Linked DNA regions of Oryctolagus cuniculus. The protein of the gene in region 4 purifies or fractionates together with the protein of the main gene of each other region. This does not show direct contact. Links are inferred from orthologs where the notes say so. Each region holds a gene or a part of one and is shown on either strand. Other genes may lie near its edges.

Region 1 (4,220 bases), on a different chromosome or scaffold from region 4:
CAGTCCCCCATATCCAATCAATTTCCATGTCTTACTGATTCTACCTCCCAACTATTTCTTAAATTTCCATCTTTAAAACATCTCTCAAATTTATCTATTTTCTTCTTACTCCACTGCTACCACTTTAGTCTAGATTACCGTCATCTTCGAGACTAGTTTTTATTCGTTCCCTCCTCACCATTATATTTCTCATACAGTAGAAATCGGTACTCTTTGAATCCATGATAAATGCTGTCCCCAGTCATCTTATACCAAGCCAAAAATACTCCTTCTACCTAATGAACTGTAAAAGGATATGGTATACATAGTACCCAATTACTATATTGCTTATTAAAATGATTTTCAAAAGGCTTGTTTACAATTTCTTCTGACATGTTTGAAAAGTCTTAACCCCAGGAATTACTGATAAATCTATACAAATATCTGCCTCTTAAAACATTTTATTCATTGGGTGACTTTTATATACAACCAAATTAGCACTGATTGAAGTCATTTAGGCCAGTGTCTCTTTCCCGAAGTTACTATGAAAGTAACTGAAGAACTTTTGTCTCAGAATATGATTTTTGTAAAGACTCAAATATTATGTTTTTCTATGAGAGGTAATTTGAGAAGGCAGTTCCATATTAAAAGTTTAAAGAAAAAAAGTAAACAGTTGCTCAACTTTTCTACTATTTCCTACACCTGGCAATATAGTGAACCCTAAGGCAGTCTAGAAAGAAACAAATTTCCAACTTACTCTCATTCCTTTTTAAATATACACAATCAGTCAATATATATATTTTTTAGAAGACTATATCTTGTCCTATTTTTATTCTCTTCTTTCCCATTTTCACCACTGTCCTTGATATTTGTCTTTGGAGCCAAAGTTGCTTTTCCTCGCACTGCTCCAGATCCCTTGACTGCTTTCTTCTTACACTACAAGAGCTCAACCAAATTACTACCAAAATTCTCACTTAGCCATAGCCTGAAACTCCCTACCACCACCCCCAAATCTAACATGGGGGGGTGGGGAGACAAATTAGACTTTTTAAGACTTAAAATATCTAAGTGTATTATTGCTAAGAGTATTTTAAAGAAAAATAGGAAACCTGATGGGTACTATATAGAAGCAAGCCATTTATTTTCTTTTTCATACTTTATACAGTTGAAATTATTATTAAACAGTGGTTATATGCTATCAATGTAACTAGTTCATCACTTTAGAAGGTTTTAAGGGCCAAAGAAAAGGAATCACTAAGACAAAATTACAAGAGTATGAAATAGAAACTAATCACTTTGTGATTAAAAAATTCTTAAAAATTACTCCATATTGGGAAGAGAAACTGCTGTGGAATACCTTTGGAAAAACTGATACAACTTGCAAACAGGTAAATTTCCTAAGACAGAATCCTCCATTATATTAATTCCAACACTGACAGCTACATGGGTAAAGAACTGGAAAAGAAACCAAACCAGGAGGAATGAGAATTTCGTGCTGTGAAGAAAAATTAAGCATGTTTATGGAAGTACTGATGTATTAAAATATTTACAATTTGAAATCACAGGCCTATTAGGGACAATATGAAGGGATTTCTAAAATTGATTTTCTTCATAACTTCAAAGTTTATGACTGAGTGACAGCAGCTGACAGAGGTCAGCTCCTCTGTGATCGAGTCAAAGACCATATATGGTGGGATGAAATCTCCCAGGCCCGATCCATCACCAAGGGACAAAAGGTTCCGTTCTTCAGACAGGCAGGGGGGACAGTGACCTGCACTGCATCACCCTCGTAGGAGCCCACAAGGGTCCTCCCACGCCAACAGAGCGCGGAGCCCCAAGGCACCCCTTGGTGTGGTACGGCAGTGATGGACGGAAAAGCCGTTTGTCTTCCATTTCCTGGACGCCTGACGAACTTGAACAATCAAATGTTCCCGATTCCCACCACCGGTAAAGGAAAAACCCAGGTTTGCCCTTTCCACCCCCACCCCCCCCCCCCCCAGCATAGGTGCTTGCCCCTCAGCACTGGGCCTTGGAGTTCTCAGATCCTCCTCCTCCGGTGGGAAAGTCACTGGGCAAGAAAGGCAACGTGTCTGTTACCAACACAGAAATTAATATTAAAAATACCCATCCTACCTTCCCTCCCTCCCTCCATCCTCACCCGTGTAACAAAACAAAACAAAAAACCCCTGCAAAGTTGCCCCGCCATTACGGAGCTGACACAAGCTCGGATCCAAAGTGCTCCTCACGCATCCCTCAGCCGAGGGGGCACCCAGGGGCGTCTCGGGCCGCCTCCCCTCAGTCCGAGCCAGGCCAGGCCCCTGGACTACCAGGAGGGGCTGGCCGGACGTGGGCTCGGACGGGAGAGCGCCCATTATCCTCGAAACCCGCTCCCGCTCGGGACAGAGGCAGCGCGGGATCGGGAGCAACACGGCTGCGGCGGCGGGCAAGGCCTCGGCTCGGAGGCAGGACCCGCAGCAGGGGAGGCGGGAGAGGCAGTCGGGCCTAGGCCGCAGCAGGCCGCCAAGTGGCCATACGCGGCTTCCCGACCGAGGCTGCGGGCCAGGCCTCGGAGAAGGGGGCTATCGTTACCTGGACGGGTTCCTGCAGCACCGTCATCCTTGAGGCTCAGGCCCACTCTCTGCAGTGCCTCAGGCCCCCCCCCGTAGCGGCTTCGGCCCGGCCAGCCCCGGCTCATTTAAACTCACCAGCGACCGTTACCGGGGGATGGGGGAGGCCGAGCGATTGCCGAGCCCCGCCGAGCGGGACACGGAAATACCCGAAGTGGAGCGAGCTGCGCGAAAGCGAGGCGGAAAGGCCCGAAACAAGTCGGAAATGCCCGAGATGGGTCGGTGGAGGAGGAGACCGTTTGCCGGAAATGGGCGAGGACATCCGGAAACTGCCGATTCGGCCCGGGCGCGTAGGTTCCTCTTCCCAGTCACGCCTTCACCCACGCACGCCACGCCCAATCGGCCACGCTAGACTGCACCACGCCCAATCGGCAACCGGCAGTCGGGGAGTGGCGTCACGGAGCGGGCGGGGAGCGTTACGTGGCGGGGCTGCGGTCTCGGGTCTACTCCGCCTTTCCGAATGAGTTGGTGCACGGTAGACTGCGCAAAGGGTAACACAGCAAAACGCCAGGGTTTGGGGCTGATGTAGATTAATCAAGAAGTGTTTCTCTCGAGTTTAGGGCATTCATGCATTCCAGAAGTACCCATCCACGGCTCGGGGGATATTTGGGAAGATTTCCACGCCCCAAAGTTACAGGATGGCTTCTGTCCTCAAGGAGATGGCCGTCCATTTGCAGGGAAAATGACGGGACAAAAGAGCTCATTACAAATGTAAAAATTAAGAAGATTGAGGAAAGAGAGAAAGATGCTAAGTGGGCTTTGAAGGATGGTTAGAATTACAAGAGAAGATAGTGGTGGGCGCCAGTTGGAACCCTGGCTGCTCCACTTATGATCCAGCTCCTTGCTAATGCTTTTGGGAAAGCAGCGGAGGATGACCCAAGCCCCTGGGCTCAGGCACCCACCCAGAAGAAGCTCCTGGCTCTTGGCCTTGGGCTGGTTCAGCCCCTGCTATTGTGGTCATTTGGGGAGTGAACCAGCAGAGGGAAGATCGATTCATTCTCTCTCTCTTTCTCTCTCTCTACTTATGCCCTTCAAATATATAAAAATAAATCTTGAAGAAAAAAGCGAAGGTGAAGGCCAGAGATACTTGATCAGTCTGGTAAGAGTTAAGGCAGTGACTGGAAAGGGTTAACTTAGGTGCCCAGAGCATGGAAAGATCTCAAAAGGCAACTAGGAATTTTTATTCTTGATAGGAAAGGTTTTCCGGTGTATTGGGAGGAGTTTGGGATTGGAAGTCCAGAGGCGTGGTTTTGTATGTAAATTTTTATTTATTTTCATTTTATTTGAAAGGCAGAGACAGACAGACACAGATCTTCTGTCTGTTGGTTCACTCCCCAAATGCCTACACTACTTGGGGCTAGGCCAGGTCAAAGCCAGAAGCTCAGAATTCAATCTGCGTCTCCCACAAGGGTGGCAGGGACCCAGCTACTGGGGCCGTCACCTGTTGCTTCCAGGATGCACGTTAGCGGGAAACTGGACCAAGAAGCAGAGGAGCCAGGACTCAAAGCAGACAATCCTATAGGGGGTGCAGGTGTACCAAGCAGTGTCACCCAGTACTCACTTCAGAGACCTCTGTGCTGACTTACATAGTCACCACCAGCTATTTAAAATTTA
Region 2 (4,000 bases), on a different chromosome or scaffold from region 4:
CTGCGGCCATCTGGGAAGTGAACAAGCAGATGGAAGACCTTTCTCTCCTTCTGTAACTTTCTCAAAAAATAAATAAAATCTTTATATATGTGTGTGTGAGAGTGTGTGCGCATGGGGCCAGTGTAGTGACACAGTGGTTTAAAGCCCTGGCCTGCAGCACCAGCATTCCAGATGGGTGCCGGTTCACGATTCAGCTGCTCCACTTCCAATATCGCTCTCTGCTAATGCGCCTGGGAAAGCACCGGAGGACGGCCCAGGTCCTTGGGCCCCTGCATCCATGTGGGAGACCCAGAAGTTGTTCCTGGCTCTTGGCTTCGGATACACACAGCTCTGGCCATTGTGACCATTTGGAAGATTTCTCTCTGCTTCTGCCTCTCTGTAACTCCGTCTTTCAAATAAATAATAAATAAATAAATCTTTAAAATACATACATATATATATATATACACACACACACACACAAACAATAAAGGTCAAAACTTAAACAAGGTAGGAAACTGCCAGTCAACCCCGACATGAAAACACGCAGGCTAACCAAACTTAGCTTAACCAGCGTTATCAACTGCTCTAACAGCCCTGTAACACCTCTGAGAACCAAGAGCAATGACTAACTGATGCATTAATTACCAACGCTGGAAACTGTATGCCTTGATGAATCGCTCAGAACCAAGTACAAGTTCCAGAATAAACACAGAAGGCTGGCACAGACCAGAGCTCCTCACTGTCAACACTAAGCGGATGGTGGCAGGTGGTGGTCTCACTGGCGAGGGCCAAAGCACACTAACAGAGAAGGGGAGTAGTGTCTGCTGTGCAGCCATGGAGGGAGGCCTTTCCTTCCTGGCCTACACCAGCTATGAAGAGGCCAAAGCCGGCGGGTCCACACAGAGCAGAAGCAGCCATCATACTGCCACCCGGAGGTCGCAGACTGAGAGGTCGGAATGGAGACTCAGGCCACAGAACCAGTGGCCAGACGGCTCCCTCACTTCCTGGCTGTGCCAAGCGGGACAAGTGCTTCACCTCTCCGAGGGTGCACACCCTTCCTTAGCACGTTCAATACGCAACAGATGTCGCGCTGATTCCATCAGGTGGTCAGAGCACGGGGAGCCGACCTTTACGCCCTCATCGCACATCAGAATGCCCGGGTTCAATTCTGGCTCCTGCCGCCAGCTTCCTGCTAATGCAGACACTGAGAGGCGGCAGTGATGGTTCGAATAACGGCTCCAGCCACCTCCGTGAGACCTGGGCTGTGGTCCCAGCACCTGGGCTCAGGTCCCGACTAGCAGTTGTGGGCATCTGGTGAGTGAACCAGCAGATGAGAGAGTGCTCTCTCGGAGTTTAAAAAGAACCATGTAAAAAGTAAAAACCACTACCGCATCAAACAGCCAAGTGGGAAAACGGGACAAAATCCTGATGGTCAAAGAGCTCTCTAGGAGGGACACGGGCGGCTGAAACCTGCGGGGGGGGGGGGGTTACCATGCCAACGGCAGGTGCAGAGGCCCAGGCGTGAGAACCAGCCTGGGGCAGTCAAGGGCCACACACCAGTCAGGGAGGCTGGGGTCCGGCGAAGAGGCCTCAGGTCAGAGAGAGCTGTGCTGGGATCTTAGCCGAAACCCAGCGGGGACCGACAAGCACTCAAGGCTGGAACCGGCCCTGTGCCTCCTCTGTGGCGGGACTCAACCCACAGCAGCTCCGGAAACAAGAAGGGCGCCGCCCCCCGCCCCCGCCCCCGCCCCCGCCCCGAGTCTCCCGGTTCCAGGACTCTGCCAAGGCGAGAAAGGGGGCCCTTCTGACACACGCAAGAGGAACCAAATCTGGCTCCGAGGTGGGAATCGGCTATCGAAACCAGAGGCCTGGGGCTGCGCTGCAGCGAGCGGGAAGGAGCCGGGGGCGCGGGGTTCAGCCCGGCGATGTGGCTGACAGTCGCCCGGCGACGGACGCCTCGAGAAACCCTTCGCTCGCCCCCGTCTGGGAAGTCGTCGCCAGGTGGTTCTCGGAGCCTCCGCCTTCCATCGGTCGAAGTCGCCGCTCGCCTCATCCCCTACAGGGAGCCCGGGACGAGGCCGAGGCCAAGGCCGTCCAACTTGCGCTTCCAAGCCGGCGGGCTGATCGTGGAGCCTCCGCTGGGGGCCCGCGGCCGCTCCTTCCCGCCCCCTCGGCCCCCGCTCCCAGACCGCCGCCGCTTTTCTCCTCAGCCCCAGGCCGTTCCCCGCCTCAACTCACGGGTTGTTATTACTCATTGTAAGTAACAAGCTGCTGAGAAGCCGCACATTGGAGTGCAGCCCCGCGGCTGCCATGTCCCGCACGTGGTCTATCACATTCATCCTGCCCGGCGAAGCCACGGACGGCGGCGGCGGCGGCGGCGCGGAAAGCCGGTAAAGGATGCTCTAGGAAGGTTCCAAAATGGCGGCGGCGCCGGGGTCCTCCGGGTCCACACGCGGCACCGCCCCCGAGAAATAGGTAACTACCGAAGTGCCTGAGTGGCAAGAAACTCAGCCGCCACCGCCTTCGCCTGAGAGCTGGAACGGTATCTTGTGGCGGTCTTTCACGCGACAATTACGTCATCATCCTAAACGGCAGACCTCAGTGAGGTTCTCCGTTGGCACGAAAGGCACCCCAGTAGGAATATAGCCTCATTTGAAATAAGGGGAGCCCCAGAGGCCTCTAGGGCCTCTCGGAAGTTAACGAAATGCATGGGAATTTTTCAAAAATAAAAGTGGTGGAGTAAAACTCTTCGACGGCTGGAATTAAATATTTTAATCAGGCGCCAGAGGCGGACCTAGCCGTTCTTCCAAGCGCGCATGCGCACCAGGCGAAAGTCGTCACGCCCCCTCCTCCGGAGACGTGTGTCCGGCCGCAGTGGACTTCTCGCTGGGTGCGAAGGGGTCAGCTTCCCTCGTTAAATGACTCACTAGGTCAGGGTGAATGGCGGGCAGCCGTGGCAGCACGTGCGTGGCACGGTCCACGGACGTTCTCACAGCTCCCGCGTGGCGCGCTCGCCGACCTGCCCGCGAAGTTGTCGGAGCGGTCGGCGCCTGCACCTGCCCGCTTGGCCTGGAACCCCCGGGTCGCGCGCACCTCCAGCACTAACGGGGGCGGGGGCCGCGTTAGGCGCACCTGGACGAGTCTCCACTGCCCCCAAGGCCGCCCGGGTCTCCCAGGGGGAGGGCTCGGGCCGTCTGCTGCCTTCCCCCGGCCGTCAGCAGGGAGCTGGGTCGGAGCCGAGCCGACGGGATTGCGGCGTCGCGGCTGGCGGGTCACCCGCTGTGCCCGCCTCCTGATAAAGGGCAGGGACCCAGCCATCAGACGGGGAGCAGCGCGCAGGGGTGAGCACGGGCGCGTTCCCTCTGTCGGTCCCGTGCGGGAATTCTTCTGTGACTCTTCAGAAGTCATGATCTTAAATTTTAGGATCATAAATCTGGATTTTAAAATTAGTCCCAATTTTTTAAACATTGGCCAAAACAAAAATAATAGCAAGAACCCTACACAGGAGAGGAGAAATATGAGACTACTTTATACATTAGTAGCACGGTGGAGCATGTGAGCACCGGTTCAGGTCCTGGCTGCTCCACTTCTGATCCAGCTCCCTGCTCATGCGCCTGGAAAAGCGGCAGGGGATGGCACAAGGGCCCGAGCCCCTGAACCACATGGGAGTCCCTGGCCCCTGGCTGCAGTCTGGCACAGCCCCAACCATTGTGGGCTTTTAGGGGGTGAACCAGCAGGTGCAAATTCCCTTTCTTTCAGCCTCAGCCTTTCAACTAAAGTAAATCTTGAAAAAAAAAAAAAAAAAAAGAGTGGCTGAAGCAGGTTGCGTAATTATATCACTCTGTAGTTACCGTTTTAATAAAGTTTGAAGACTTACTATATATTGCTTATGGATATATACATATTTAGGAAAAGTATTTTAGAAGTTTCACAGAAATGGTAAGTGCCAGAGTCCTCGTGGGGCTCCGTTTAGGAGAGGAGAGTCAAGAGTGGGATGGGGGAAGCCCACGCAGGAGCT
Region 3 (4,067 bases), on a different chromosome or scaffold from region 4:
GTCCTTTCGAATGCTCTCAAACTCTTCAATGTCATCAAGCTTGAGCTCCAAGCGCGTGGGTTTCCGTCGCAGCATACTGAAATCTACACTGAGAGCAGATCCAATCAACTATGAGCTATTAAAAATGACACAGAGAAAAACTGGAGGTGATACGTTGCAGTTACATACATAAGGCCAATTTCTACACATGTACACTAAAGTGAAGGCAATAGCAAAATCAAACTTGGATTCACACATAGATCTCTTTCTTTTTTTGAAAGGCAGAGTGACAAAGAGATGGAGAGGCACAGAGAGACAGAGATCTCTCATCCACCATAGTTCACTACTCCCATGGCCACAGTGTCTCTGGATGAGCCGGGCCAAAGCCAGGAGTCAGGAGTTCCATTGTTGTTTCCCAAGTGGGTGGCAGGGGTTCACACACACCGGCCATTATCTGGTGCTTTCCCAGGCACATTAGAAGGGAGCTGGACTGGAAGCAGAGCAGCCAAGACTCTGATATGGGATGCCATATTGCAAGATGTGGTTTACCTTCCGTGCCACAATGCCAGCCCCACACATAGATTTCTTAAGGCTTTAGGTGTATGCTTCTTACATTTGTATTTCATGATGGAGATCCACAACGCGGTGATTCAAAAACCTCTTTCTGAAAAAACTGAACACCAGCAAGCTGCCTATAAGAAAATTCTAGGCAAAACTGAACTCACCAATTCACAAGATTCTCTTCAGTGTCTCAATCAACCAGACAGATCATTCATTAGCAAAGACTTCTTGTGCTCCGGCTACAAAATTAAAAGGTACAGACACAACCTGTGGGAGAAACAGACACGTGAGGGGAAAATTAACAGCGAGGGGAGCAAGAACACTGATGAGAATACAATGGCAGCCATGCTGGCCCGAAAGCTGGACTAGGTGTGGGGTGGTGGCCAGGGATGTTAAACACGGCCTATGGCAGGAAATGATGTCTAAATGGAGTCTTAGTCGACATCTAAAGAGCAGGCAGAGAGAACAAGTGCACAAAGAAGCTCAAGAGAACAGTCTGAGTCAAGACAATACTTTTAACAAAAACCCTTTCTTTGAGCAAACAGAACTCCCCATCACGTTTAGTATCTGTTGAGGGGCACCTTCATGGCACCCAACAGAGTCTGTGTATGTACATTAGGCAGTCAGTAAACGTTCCCTGAATATAGGAAACAACTAAAGTAAAATGAACTTGAGTGAGCACTGGGCTAATTTTTCCATCACCATTCTTCACTTGCTTATTTTAATACGAAAACCCTGTGAGGCTGGCAAGATCGTCCTATTTTACAGAGAAAGAAGTCAAAGCAAGCTGTCCAGTCTGGCCTCCTGTAGGAGTCACACATAGGACCGTGGGGTGAGGATTAAATGAGACTGATGTAAATGAACGCCACTGGCTGTACCCAGGATGAAACCGGGGACTGAGAAGTGCATAAAAGAAGAAACATTTCCTCCTCCTCCCATGAAGCCTGAGACAGACACGCAGTGGTAACACAAAACATTACTTTTTTTTTTTTTTTTTTTTTTTTTTGCGGCTCACTAGGCTAATCCTCCACCTTGCGGCACCGGCACACCGGGTTCTAGTCCCGGTCGGGGCGCCGGATTCTGTCCCGGTTGCCCCTCTTCCAGGACAAAACATTACATTTCAATTTGCTTTGACTTAAATCTGATACTGTCCACCAGATTCCAATGCCGACAAGCAGCAGAGGAAAACGAAGTTCCAAATGGGGTGAGGAAGGGATACTGAGAAGATCGCTATGCATTTTAACTTTTCTGCGAAAACGAAAAGCCCACCACCACCACTAGGAAGCAGGGTAGAGACCCGGCTGAAGTGCTGGCTCCGATCCCTTTAAGTTTCCGATCTTTGTCTCGCACCAGACCTTCCTTGCCTCTATACTCTGTTGCTGTCTGAATTGAATGGCGTAATGCCGATTAAGCTCCTGGCTACACAACTGTGGTATTCAGTAAACGCTCAATAAATAACAGGCACTTATGACTGCAGTTGTTGGGGGCGGGGGGCGGAAGAGATAACGATGGGGGAGGGGGGTGTTCCAGCTCTGCAAACACGAACATTTTGAGTCTCCCACCCACTACATGCCTTGTTCATCGCTGATGCCCCCGCACCCAGAGGAGCACAGGGCTATGCAGGAGAGTCGGCTGCGGTCTACCCGACGCCTTCCTAGCCATCATCTCACTCAGTCTGACACAAAGACCCGGCTGAAGACGAAACAAAAGCAACAGCAAAACCGGGCCGAAGCTTCGCCCGCTCTTTACTTCACTTAGACGCTAGAGGGCTCTTTGAGCTTCATCTCTCACCGCTGCCCAAATCCACCGCAAACTGAGCCAGCTCGGCCGGAGCCCCCGGCCCCGGGAGGACTTTCCTCCCCACCCCCACCCCGACAACCCTCCTCGCCCAGCCCCAGGACCACACTCAGCGGTCCGGGCGATGGTTTCCATGGCAACATGGGCCTCCGCCCCGGGACGACGTAAAGTCTCTAGGAGCCCTCGGTAAGCTCCAGAGTTCAGCGCCCGGCCGCGCGACTTGACTCACCTTCCTCTCTCTCCAAGCCCGCTCAGCCCCTTCCCGGAAGGAACCTCAGCTCCCACCACGAATCTACTGCGAGCCCAACTGGACTACACTTCCCAGAGTGCTTCGCGCCCCTCTCCCCTCCAGAACCTCGTCTCCCGCGAGCTTTTCTCGGAGGTTCTAAGGGTCATGCCCCTCCACGCGACCAGAATAGTAACTACTACGACTCCCATGATGCTCCGCGCCGCTCAGGGCGCTGCGTCGGCGCCCGACTTCACTTCCGGTCCGTGACGTAGTTCCGCTTTGCTGGGCGCGCGGTGGATGGTCTGAAACGGAGAGCTTGGCTTTTTCTGGGGCTTGGCTGCTGCGGAGCCCAGCATGGCTTCGTCACGAGCGTCCTCCACGGTACGGAGCTCGGGATCTCAGTTCACTGCGGCAGGGAGCGCCGAGAGGGTGGGGGTCCCTCGGGGAAGGGTCCGTTAGGGAGCGGGCTGACAGGGTGGAGGGCTGCCGGACTCGGTCCTGCCCTCCAGAGCAGAGCAGCATTCCCCGGACCCTTGAGCGAGTGTATGTGCTGTTACTCGTATGCACCTGTCCCACCGCAGCCCCGAACGGCAAACACCACTTCCGACTGGTCCAAACCAGGGCTCCGGAGTGGGCGAGTGTCTTGGCCACGGTGGCTGTCTATAGGAGACCTCGGAATTGGGATGAGGCCTCCCGGCTCCTGCTCTGCTACCACAGGTCTCAAAACGCTTGAGATGGACCGAGCAGGAGCGTTGTCACTGGCTACCCCTCCCTCGGCACCACGCCGGTTCTTTTACCTTACCCTTGGTGTTTCCCCCCGTGTTAAACGGTAACCCTGGAAGTATCACGAAACCCAAAAAGAGCTTGCACTTCCAACAGAATGAAGTGATCGTCTTCCAGAGGCAGAACCACCCGGAGAACCGGGTTTAATCCACCTCTTCAAGCTGTCAAACTGGAAGTGATTGAAGGGCTGACGTGCCCTCCCGCCCCCATCCCCACACCCGCGGGTCCGTGAAGCGCATCTTCCCTGGCGCCCAGTTTGGCCTTTTGTTGGGGGAGGTCAGGATGAACTTCACCCTTTAGGGAAGCCTCGTGGATTGCTAAGATCGAGCCTTGAATTAATCGAAGCCTTCGGTCTAGCAGGCCACCAAAACGAAAGCGCCTGATGACCTGGTGGCTCCGGTGGTGAAGAAGCCACACATTTATTATGGAAGTCTGGAAGAGAAGGAAAGGGAGCGGCTGGCCAAAGGAGAATCTGGGATTTTGGGAAAAGAAGGACTTAAAGCAGGAATTGAAGCAGGAAATATTAATATAACCTCCGGTAAGATGACAGATTTCAGTCCATCTTTACCTTTACCTCCAGTTTTCTGTAATGCGTGCCTTCCTCAGCTTAGATAGCTGTAGTTTTATGTTACAAGTTTTCAATTTTTAAACTTGAATCTATAGACTCATATTTTGCTTACACTACCTAGCATCATCCAGGAGCCTTTTTTTTTTTTTT
Region 4 (4,227 bases):
AGAAAACAGTGCCCTCGAAGCCCGCTGGCCCAGTCACTATGAAGACAAGCCAGGCACCTTACGAGTATTTCCCAGGGAACGCAGGACAGGTGCGTGTTCTGGAAACGTCGGCAGCTGACAGGGCCGAGGGAAGCAGGGGCCCCGGTTAGCTTCCATGCGGCTGCTCCTGTCTGTCCGGCACACTTCATTGTCCGGTCTCCCTCCGGCTGTGCTGTGGCAGCCAGAACACGGCTCCGGAGGGTGGCGCCGCAGCCCTGGCAAGACCCCTGGCCGTGCTGGTTACCTCCGCTTTCTGAACCACACTGCTCTGTGGGGCTGAGACGCTCATACGCCCCCGCGGCTCCGACTTCTCTGCCCTCCTGGTACAGCCCCTGGACACCCTGCCTCCAGCCACGGTCCCGGGCCCCATCGCCACCTACCAGCGGTATCGCCACATCCTCGTAAGGCAGCTTGTCTTCCCGCCAAGCGTCGTCGATGAGATCCAAGATCCTTCCATCCCGCTGCACCTCACTGTCCATGTTCCCGTGGCTTTGATCTCGGCGGAGCCGGACGCCAAGGGGTTCCTTCTGAAACGGGACGGCAGGAAAGATGTGGACTTAGCACCAGCACTGCCCAGGCATTCCCGAGCCTCCCGTGAAGGCAGGAAGAGGTCCTCTTCCAGGCGGTCAAGTGACAACTTAAAAACCAGAGTTCCTGCGCCCGGTCAGCCGACAAACGCTGTGCAGTGAGCGCCTCTGGACAGACTCATCCATCCGTCTGCACCTGCCCCGATTCAAACCTCAGCACAGGAGCGCACTGCACGCGCTCAGCTCACACCTTAGGACGTGGCCAGGACAGGCCTGCCGCAAGGCCTCAGGCCAGGGACGGCGAGAGCGTCGGAAAGCTTGCTTCCTTCCTAAAACAGTGGCCCGGCCGAGCTCCGAGAGGGGCACCTCCAGGTGAGCAACTGGGGCATCCCAGGCTGCTCCCCCACTCTGAGACCAGGGTATCTCCATCCCGCCCCCCTCAGCGACCATGGTATCTCCCCACTCCCCCTTCTCAAGGACCATGGTATCTCCCCTCCCATCCCCTCTCCCCATGCTCTTCAGTGAGGATGGTGTCTCCCTGCCCCCTCTCAGGGACCATGGTATACCCCCCTCAGTAACCACGGTATCTCCCCCCCGCCCTTCAGTGACGATGGTGTCTCCCTCCCCCCTCTCAGGGACCATGGTATCTCCCCACTCCCAGCTGCACTCAGTGCACAGATGCCTCCTGCCAGCCTCATTGTCCCCTGAGCAGCTGCAACCTCATGCAGAGGCCTGGCTGGCAGGTTCCCTCATCGCTAGCGTTCCTCCACGTTAATCCCAACGGCCCGCACTCCACTGGACCAAAGGCGCCCTCAGGCCCTCCCGGCATCTGACACTGCGGAGGCGCACACAGAAAACCTCGGCGGGCGGCGGGATCCCACTCCATCCACGGGCCTCTGCTCTCCTAACAGCAAGACGGCTCCTAACCCCTGGACCGTAATTCTACCCGCGTCGGGGTGCGGAGAGGTTTCTAACCTCGGTGAACGGGCAGAACTGCGGCAAAGGCGCTCCTTCCGCTACCAGCAAGCCGCGTGGGGCCCCAAGGCTGGCCCAGGACCACGCGGCGACTCGTTGAAGGAGCCTGTCTTCAGGGCTCCTGAGGCTCAGGTGCAGTTATATGCGGTGCAGTCTGTCCCCTTTGCTGGTTTTCCCAGGCCCTCGCAGAGCCCCCTCCTATAAAAGCTTCCGGAGACCTCGGTCCTGACTCATCCAGACACAAGCGAGCTCAGCTCTGCGGCCCGCGGCTCGGGCACGCCTGTCTGGCTGCAGGTGCAAATCCTGCACCAGGATCCCCCAGCAGGTCTCTTCCACCTGTCCGCAAACACCGCCCGCCCAGTCCCACTCTCCCGCTCTGAAATCCTGCCCCTAGCGCCTCTGCATCAGACCTCGCCTTCCCCGCTGGCCTGCAGTCTGGCGACTTCAGGTGAACCCACTGCATGCAGGGAATGGTGTCCGGGCTAGGTTGCCCCCCGCCCCGGACCCGGACCCCAGACCCAGGACTCAGGATTAAATCACCACCTCTACAGCAAGGCTAGGCTCCGTTCTGCATGCCTCACGGGAACCCCGGCCCTGATCAACAAATTCCCGTCACACCACTCTCCGCACCGGCCAGAGGGCCACCGCTGACCAGTGTGCCAACCAGCCCTACTTGTCCTGGGGGCGCCGTGCCTGGCGCCAACAAGGGAGACAGACAGTGCGTGCCTTCCCTGCGACAGGGGCACGTCTTGTCCATCTCTGTCTCCCAAAGCTTTGTGACTAAGCATTTACACGATCAAAGACAAAACACCACCCCAGCTTTTCTGTGGCGCTACAAATGACCCTCGCAGGCCACCGTACCGGGAAGGCCAACCCACAACCACGGCTTCCGGCCCGAGGCGGGCGCTACCAACTGGGGAAACCAGGAGGGGGAGGTCTGGGGCCGCCACGTCAGGGCCTTCCAGCCCGCCACACTCCAAGGGTGAGGTGAAGGCATCGGCCGCGGCCGCTGCACTCGACCCCGTCACACCAAGACCCGCGCCACGAACGCAGGAAACTCTTACCAGCACCCGGCCCAAAGCAGCAGCGCTTCCTCCCGGCCACACCCCGGCACCACGTGACCCGTTCGCCCGTCTCCCAGATCCCCGGATGTGGGTGAGCCCATTTATGCGCGCGGAGGGGCGGTCCGGGTTGGGGGGGGGGTGAGGCGGCAGTGGGCGGAACGAACGTGTCGGCGGCAGAGGGAGGACGTAAGATCGGCGGCGCCGCGCGTGCGCGGGCCCGTCCCGAGGTAACGACGGGAAGGCCACGGGCGCGCTCGCGGCGGCCGCTGGGTAACCGCCAGTGGGGACCTAGGCCCCTGCGAGGGGCGGGCGTGTCCTGGTCCGGAGGCCCTGGCCAACCTGGTGCCCCCAGCCGCGCGGCCGCATGGCCCGGGACTGGCTTCTGCAGCAGCCCGCCGGCCACCAGGGGCGCCCCTCGGCCTGCCCGCCCACGCCTTGTGGCCCCGCGAAGGCGGCCGTGGCCCAGTCCGCGGTGGCGTGCGGCCCTGCGGGGAGGTCAGCCGTGGCCCGCAGGCCGGCCGGAGGGGGGTCGCGGGCTCGGGCGCCGCTGCGTGGAGTGCTCCCTGCGCGGGGAGGCTGCAGGGTGGCGTCGGCGGGGTTGGAGGAGGCAGGCCGCCCTCGACGTTCATATTCACATAGAAGGAAATGGCTTGGAGCGGTTGCTCAGTAACGCCCTACACGACCAGGCTCCTGGGGCTGGATCTGCGGTGCCCTGGCGGCCCTGGGACAGTGGCGGAAGCTCCTGTTCGTTTAGGGCTGCACGAAGCAGCTTCCCCCGAGCCCAGGGTCGGACCCCCGATGTCGGCTTCAGACGCCCCGCGTTTGCACAGTTTTGCTCCCCGTGTAGTTTGAGTTTACGAAGAGGAAACCAGGAGCGACACGGGCTGCATACTGAATCTTTAACGGATGTAGCTTGGTGATCGAGTCTGTGTTCGCTTGCTCGGAAGGCGGTGCCCTTGGTTTTCCTGCTGAGCTCCTTGCTAGTTAGCAAGGCCCTGAAACTGGAATGGGCTAGAGATGTGTAACCACCTAGACACTGCCCTCTGCAGCCCGTGCGAGTCAAGTTCATAAACTCGCTTCTAAGGGTTGTTTAGGTCGATTAGTCCCCGCGCTCCTCTGTGTGGGCCACTCTCACGGCTACCTTCCTGCTCCGCACGCACGCTGTCGGCTTGCAAAAAGCAACATGGACCTCAAAGTTGCAGGCATTGAATTTCTGGTTTATGTTAGCCCTCCCCTCCGCCCCCAAGAGCTAGGTTGGTTTCTGCAGTTGCACAAAGCCACAGAACTCTCACACCTGTGGAGATCAGAATTCCCTACTGTGGGCCTCCGCGGGGCTCGGGTTTCTTCAGCTGCCCCATCCCTGTGTGTAGTTGATCCCAGGTCTCACCCCGAGATCTCCCTGTGTGCTTGACTGATAGACCTTTTAAATCCTACCTGCAAACGGCTCTCTGGCCTCTTTCTGCTGTTCTACACTGACCTGTTTGCCTCCCGAGGTGTGCTTGGGTCCCCTGGAATTGCACCTCCGCCTAGCCAGCTGCAGCGGGTACGCTGATTAACATGGCAGAGCACACAGTCCAGTTCTGCATTGCATAGTGCTTGGTACAGCTGCAGCTCCTCCCGTG
Region 5 (3,510 bases), on a different chromosome or scaffold from region 4:
GAGCAAAGGCCAAAACTAGAACAGGGTGAGAAAAAAAACAGAGTACTTAGTGCAATGTTTGAGAAAAACAGGTACTTGGCCTACTGTCCAGTTTTACTATTTTAAACACATCTAATCATAAAGGCTTTTTTGCCTAAATGTCCCCCCTTTAAGTGCTAATAACTAAAGATCCTTGCGCAAGCTGGTTTTCAAGTGCGGCAGTGCTACCGGAGCACCGTGACGGAGCTAGGGTTTGTCAAGCACCCCCAGTCTAGAGCAGCACTCCACCATCAGGCAGAAAATACAGAAGTCTCAACAGACACGCAATTCAAGCTCATCCCCACGACGTACTGGGCCAGAAACACATCTAAGAGGAAAGACGTGTTTCCATCGGCTTTGAAGGATTTTCATTTTCTGTCTGTTTCTAACCCATAATGGGAAACAAGGCCTTCAACTACTGAGGAATCCTTTTATCCTGACTGTGGCTGATTATCTAGCATGCTTTCTGCACAGAAGTCATTAATGCCTTCTCTTTTTTTTTTCTTTTTTCAAAGATGTATTTATTTATTTGAAAGGCAGAATTACAGAGAGGCAGAGGGAAAGAGAGAGAGGTCCTCCATCTGCTGTTTCACTTCCCAAATGGCTGCAATGGGCGGAGCTGAACAGATCTGAAGCCAGGAGCCAGGAGCTTCTTCTGGACCTCCCACGCGGGTGCAGGGGCCCAAGGACTTCGGCCTTTTCCCACTGCTATCCCAGGCCATAGCAGAGAGCTGGATCAGAAATGGAGCAGCCAGGACTCAATCTAGTGCCCATATGGGATGCCAGCGCTTCAGGCAGTGGCTTTACCCATTAGGCCACAGCGCCGGCCCCTAAAACCTTCTTCTTTCTTTCTTTCTTTATTTTTTTTTAAGGATTTTAAGACTTCCTACAAGGAGGGCAGTAAGTTTTACTGCTGAGAGCTGGACTGGAAGAGTGAACCAGAGGAAGGACAATCTCTCTCTCCCTCTTCCTCCCTCTCTCTGTAACTCTGCCTGTCAAATAAACAGATAAATCTTAAAAACGTTTACTTTGGTGCAAAGTAAGTCTGAAATTTGTGCTTTTTCATAATACATATTTTCTATTTACTTTTGGAAGATCCTATATATGAATGGATTTCAAAATTTTCTGCACCAAAATAAACTTTCAATTCCACTCCCCATGAACTTTTTTTTCTTTTTTGAAAGGCAGAGTTACAGAGAGAGGTAGAGCCAGAGAGAGGTCTTTGATCTGCTGGTTCACTCCCCAAATGACTGCAACGGCTAGAGCTGACCTGTTCCAAAGCCAGGAGCCTGGAGCTTCTTCCAGGTCTCCCACATGGGTGCAGGGGCGCAAGGACTTGGGCCATCTTCCACTACCTTTCTAGGCCACAGCAGAGAGCTGGATCGGAAGTGGAGTAGCCGGGACTCGAACTGGCCACCATATAGGATGCCGTCGCTGATGGCTGGGGCCTTAACCTGCTGCTCCGCTGTGCCACAGTACTGGCCCCCTCCCATGAACATTTTTTTTTTTTTTTTTTTTTTTCAAACAGGCAGAGTTAGACAGTGAGAGAGAGAGGGACAGAGAGAAAGGTCTTCCTTCCGTTGGTTCACCCCCCAAATGGCTGCTACGGCCGGCACACCATGCTGATCTGAAGCCAGGAGCCAGGTGCTTCCTCCTGGTCTCCCATGGGGTGCAGAGTCCAAGCACTTGGGCCATCCTCCACTGCCCTCCCGGGTCACAGCAGAGAGCTGGACTGGAAAAGGGGCAACCGGGACAGAATCCGGCGCCCTGACTGGGACTAGAACCCGGTGTGCTGGCGCCACAGGCGGAGGATTAGCCTAGTGAGCTGCGGCGTCAGCTCCCATGAACTTTTGAAGTTGCCTCATATTTTAAGCAAAGTGAGTATAGAATGAATATAGTACATTAAAGCATTCCTGGACATCATACTTCCGGGAATTAATCTAAGGAGCTAACTCCAAGTATCAGCGCTCCCAGTGTTCAGGATATTTATGTATAGCATCTTTATAAAAACCAAAAACTAGAAACTATCTAAATGTCCACCTATGAGGATAGAGTTAGCAAATCACAATATAGAAATACAGTGGATTAGTATGTAATCATTTAACATTAATGTGGTTAATCTATCCACAGTGACAAGAAAAAAGCAATATAAAAAACAAAAACAAAAAAACTACACAACAAAATGGCATGTATTAGGGCCAGTATTGTGACACAGTGGGATAGGACACTGCCTGTAATGCTGAAATCCCATATGGGCACCGGTTTGAGTCCTAGCTGCTCCATTTCTGATCCAGCTCTCTGCTAATGTGCCTGGGAAAGCACTGGAAGATGGTTCAAGTGCTTGGGCCCCTGCACCCACACAGGAGACCTGGATGAAGCTCTTATCTTCACCCTGGCCTAGCCCTGGCCAGTGCAACCATTCAGGGAGTGAACCAGAGGATCTTGGTCTCTCTCTCTCTCTGCAACTCCACTTAATAAATAAATAAATCCATTTTTTAAAAATAGCATGCATCGAATGACCTCCCTCTGATAAAACTGTATAATGTATATATTCTGCATGTATGGATTTTATCAGAAATTTTAGAGAAGTTGTTCTCCAAAACAAAGTTATTTCTGACTTATAAGGTTTTCAGGGAATTTTAAAGCACTTCATTATATTTATCTGGGGGAACAAAATAAGCCATGAGGAGCTCATACCATTCTACAAAACCAGTATCCCCAAAGCATCAAAGACACAGATGACGTTCAAGCTCCGTGGTGTGCACACATCACTGTCCTGTGTGTAGCGGCTGAGATAAGGATTGGCATTGTCCATGCAACCCATGGAGTAAGAGTTCAATCGTCAGAGCCATAATGAGCAACAGCACAAGGGCCCCAGGAAACAGGGCGAGGAATGGAATCAGAGCTGAGGGAGCCTAGGAGTGGCAAGCAGGTCTGCACAGCGGATGCGCCACACGCTCAGTGGGAAATACACGGCTGGGAGGCCTTGAACTGAGCTGACTGTGAGTGGCAGGTGGTGCTGGGCCCAGGGGTGCAGGACCAGAGATAGCAGAAAGAACAAAGCTGAAGCTTTCTGTGGATCCATCGGATTTCAGCTCAGGGTTATCTTTGCCAAGAAGCTGGACTCCGTCTAAAAGAGCCCTCTGCCGAGAATTAATCTGAGCTTTATGGAAAGATGTTAAAGCCTGCTTTTGAAAAATGCTCCCCGATTGGCATTTATAACTCCAGTATAGTCTAACAATAAATTCTTTCTGGAAATAAGCTTTCTTTAGAGGCTATTTGATTTTCACCCTTTGTGAAAATACAGATTTTTTCTATAACAGTATCATTACGTTTGCCATCTGGTCTCCAAGCCAGACAGGTCACTTCCTTTCCTGTGTTTTCATTTGGTGGAAAACTCCAAACTCGATGAAAACTTGCAAGTCGGTGAAGCAAAACCTAAGAGAAAACAGATATAAGGCAGTAAGTAAAAAATCCATTTCCAAAAATAAA

The links.
Region 1: the proteins of ANAPC13 (region 4) and CDC27 purify together in Homo sapiens (affinity purification with mass spectrometry; 5 studies listed by BioGRID and IntAct, counting the BioPlex papers as one, with this or other methods). This does not show direct contact. The link is inferred for Oryctolagus cuniculus from reciprocal best matches to the Homo sapiens genes ANAPC13 and CDC27.
Region 2: the proteins of ANAPC13 (region 4) and ANAPC7 purify together in Homo sapiens (affinity purification with mass spectrometry; 3 studies listed by BioGRID and IntAct, counting the BioPlex papers as one, with this or other methods). This does not show direct contact. The link is inferred for Oryctolagus cuniculus from reciprocal best matches to the Homo sapiens genes ANAPC13 and ANAPC7.
Region 3: the proteins of ANAPC13 (region 4) and CDC26 purify together in Homo sapiens (affinity purification with mass spectrometry; 4 studies listed by BioGRID and IntAct, counting the BioPlex papers as one, with this or other methods). This does not show direct contact. The link is inferred for Oryctolagus cuniculus from reciprocal best matches to the Homo sapiens genes ANAPC13 and CDC26.
Region 5: the proteins of ANAPC13 (region 4) and ANAPC4 purify together in Homo sapiens (affinity purification with mass spectrometry; 9 studies listed by BioGRID and IntAct, counting the BioPlex papers as one, with this or other methods). This does not show direct contact. The link is inferred for Oryctolagus cuniculus from reciprocal best matches to the Homo sapiens genes ANAPC13 and ANAPC4.

Annotation. Positions count from the first base shown.
Region 1 is NC_091448.1:16,932,749-16,936,968, reverse strand, and holds the start of CDC27 (cell division cycle protein 27 homolog), read right to left. Parts: upstream 2,808-4,220; 5' UTR 2,596-2,807; coding exon 2,569-2,595; intron 1-2,568. UniProt on the Homo sapiens protein: Component of the anaphase promoting complex/cyclosome (APC/C), a cell cycle-regulated E3 ubiquitin ligase that controls progression through mitosis and the G1 phase of the cell cycle.
Region 2 is NC_091452.1:8,083,783-8,087,782, forward strand, and holds the start of ANAPC7 (anaphase-promoting complex subunit 7), read right to left. Parts: upstream 2,808-4,000; 5' UTR 2,322-2,807; coding exon 2,221-2,321; intron 1-2,220. UniProt on the Homo sapiens protein: Component of the anaphase promoting complex/cyclosome (APC/C), a cell cycle-regulated E3 ubiquitin ligase that controls progression through mitosis and the G1 phase of the cell cycle.
Region 3 is NC_091432.1:216,878,127-216,882,193, forward strand, and holds the start of CDC26 (anaphase-promoting complex subunit CDC26), read right to left. Parts: upstream 2,801-4,067; 5' UTR 2,567-2,800; exon of another isoform or gene 2,114-2,566; intron 808-2,113; 5' UTR 705-807; intron 116-704; 5' UTR 76-115; coding exon 1-75. UniProt on the Homo sapiens protein: Component of the anaphase promoting complex/cyclosome (APC/C), a cell cycle-regulated E3 ubiquitin ligase that controls progression through mitosis and the G1 phase of the cell cycle.
Region 4 is NC_091435.1:146,958,761-146,962,987, reverse strand, and holds the start of ANAPC13 (anaphase-promoting complex subunit 13), read right to left. Parts: upstream 2,811-4,227; 5' UTR 2,606-2,810; exon of another isoform or gene 2,565-2,605; intron 2,427-2,564; exon of another isoform or gene 1,542-2,426; intron 567-1,541; 5' UTR 519-566; coding exon 420-518; intron 1-419. Other genes in the region: CEP63 (centrosomal protein of 63 kDa), read left to right, coding at 2,970-3,100. UniProt on the Homo sapiens protein: Component of the anaphase promoting complex/cyclosome (APC/C), a cell cycle-regulated E3 ubiquitin ligase that controls progression through mitosis and the G1 phase of the cell cycle.
Region 5 is NC_091433.1:20,489,740-20,493,249, reverse strand, and holds part of ANAPC4 (anaphase-promoting complex subunit 4), read right to left. Parts: intron 3,457-3,510; coding exon 3,351-3,456; intron 16-3,350; coding exon 1-15. UniProt on the Homo sapiens protein: Component of the anaphase promoting complex/cyclosome (APC/C), a cell cycle-regulated E3 ubiquitin ligase that controls progression through mitosis and the G1 phase of the cell cycle.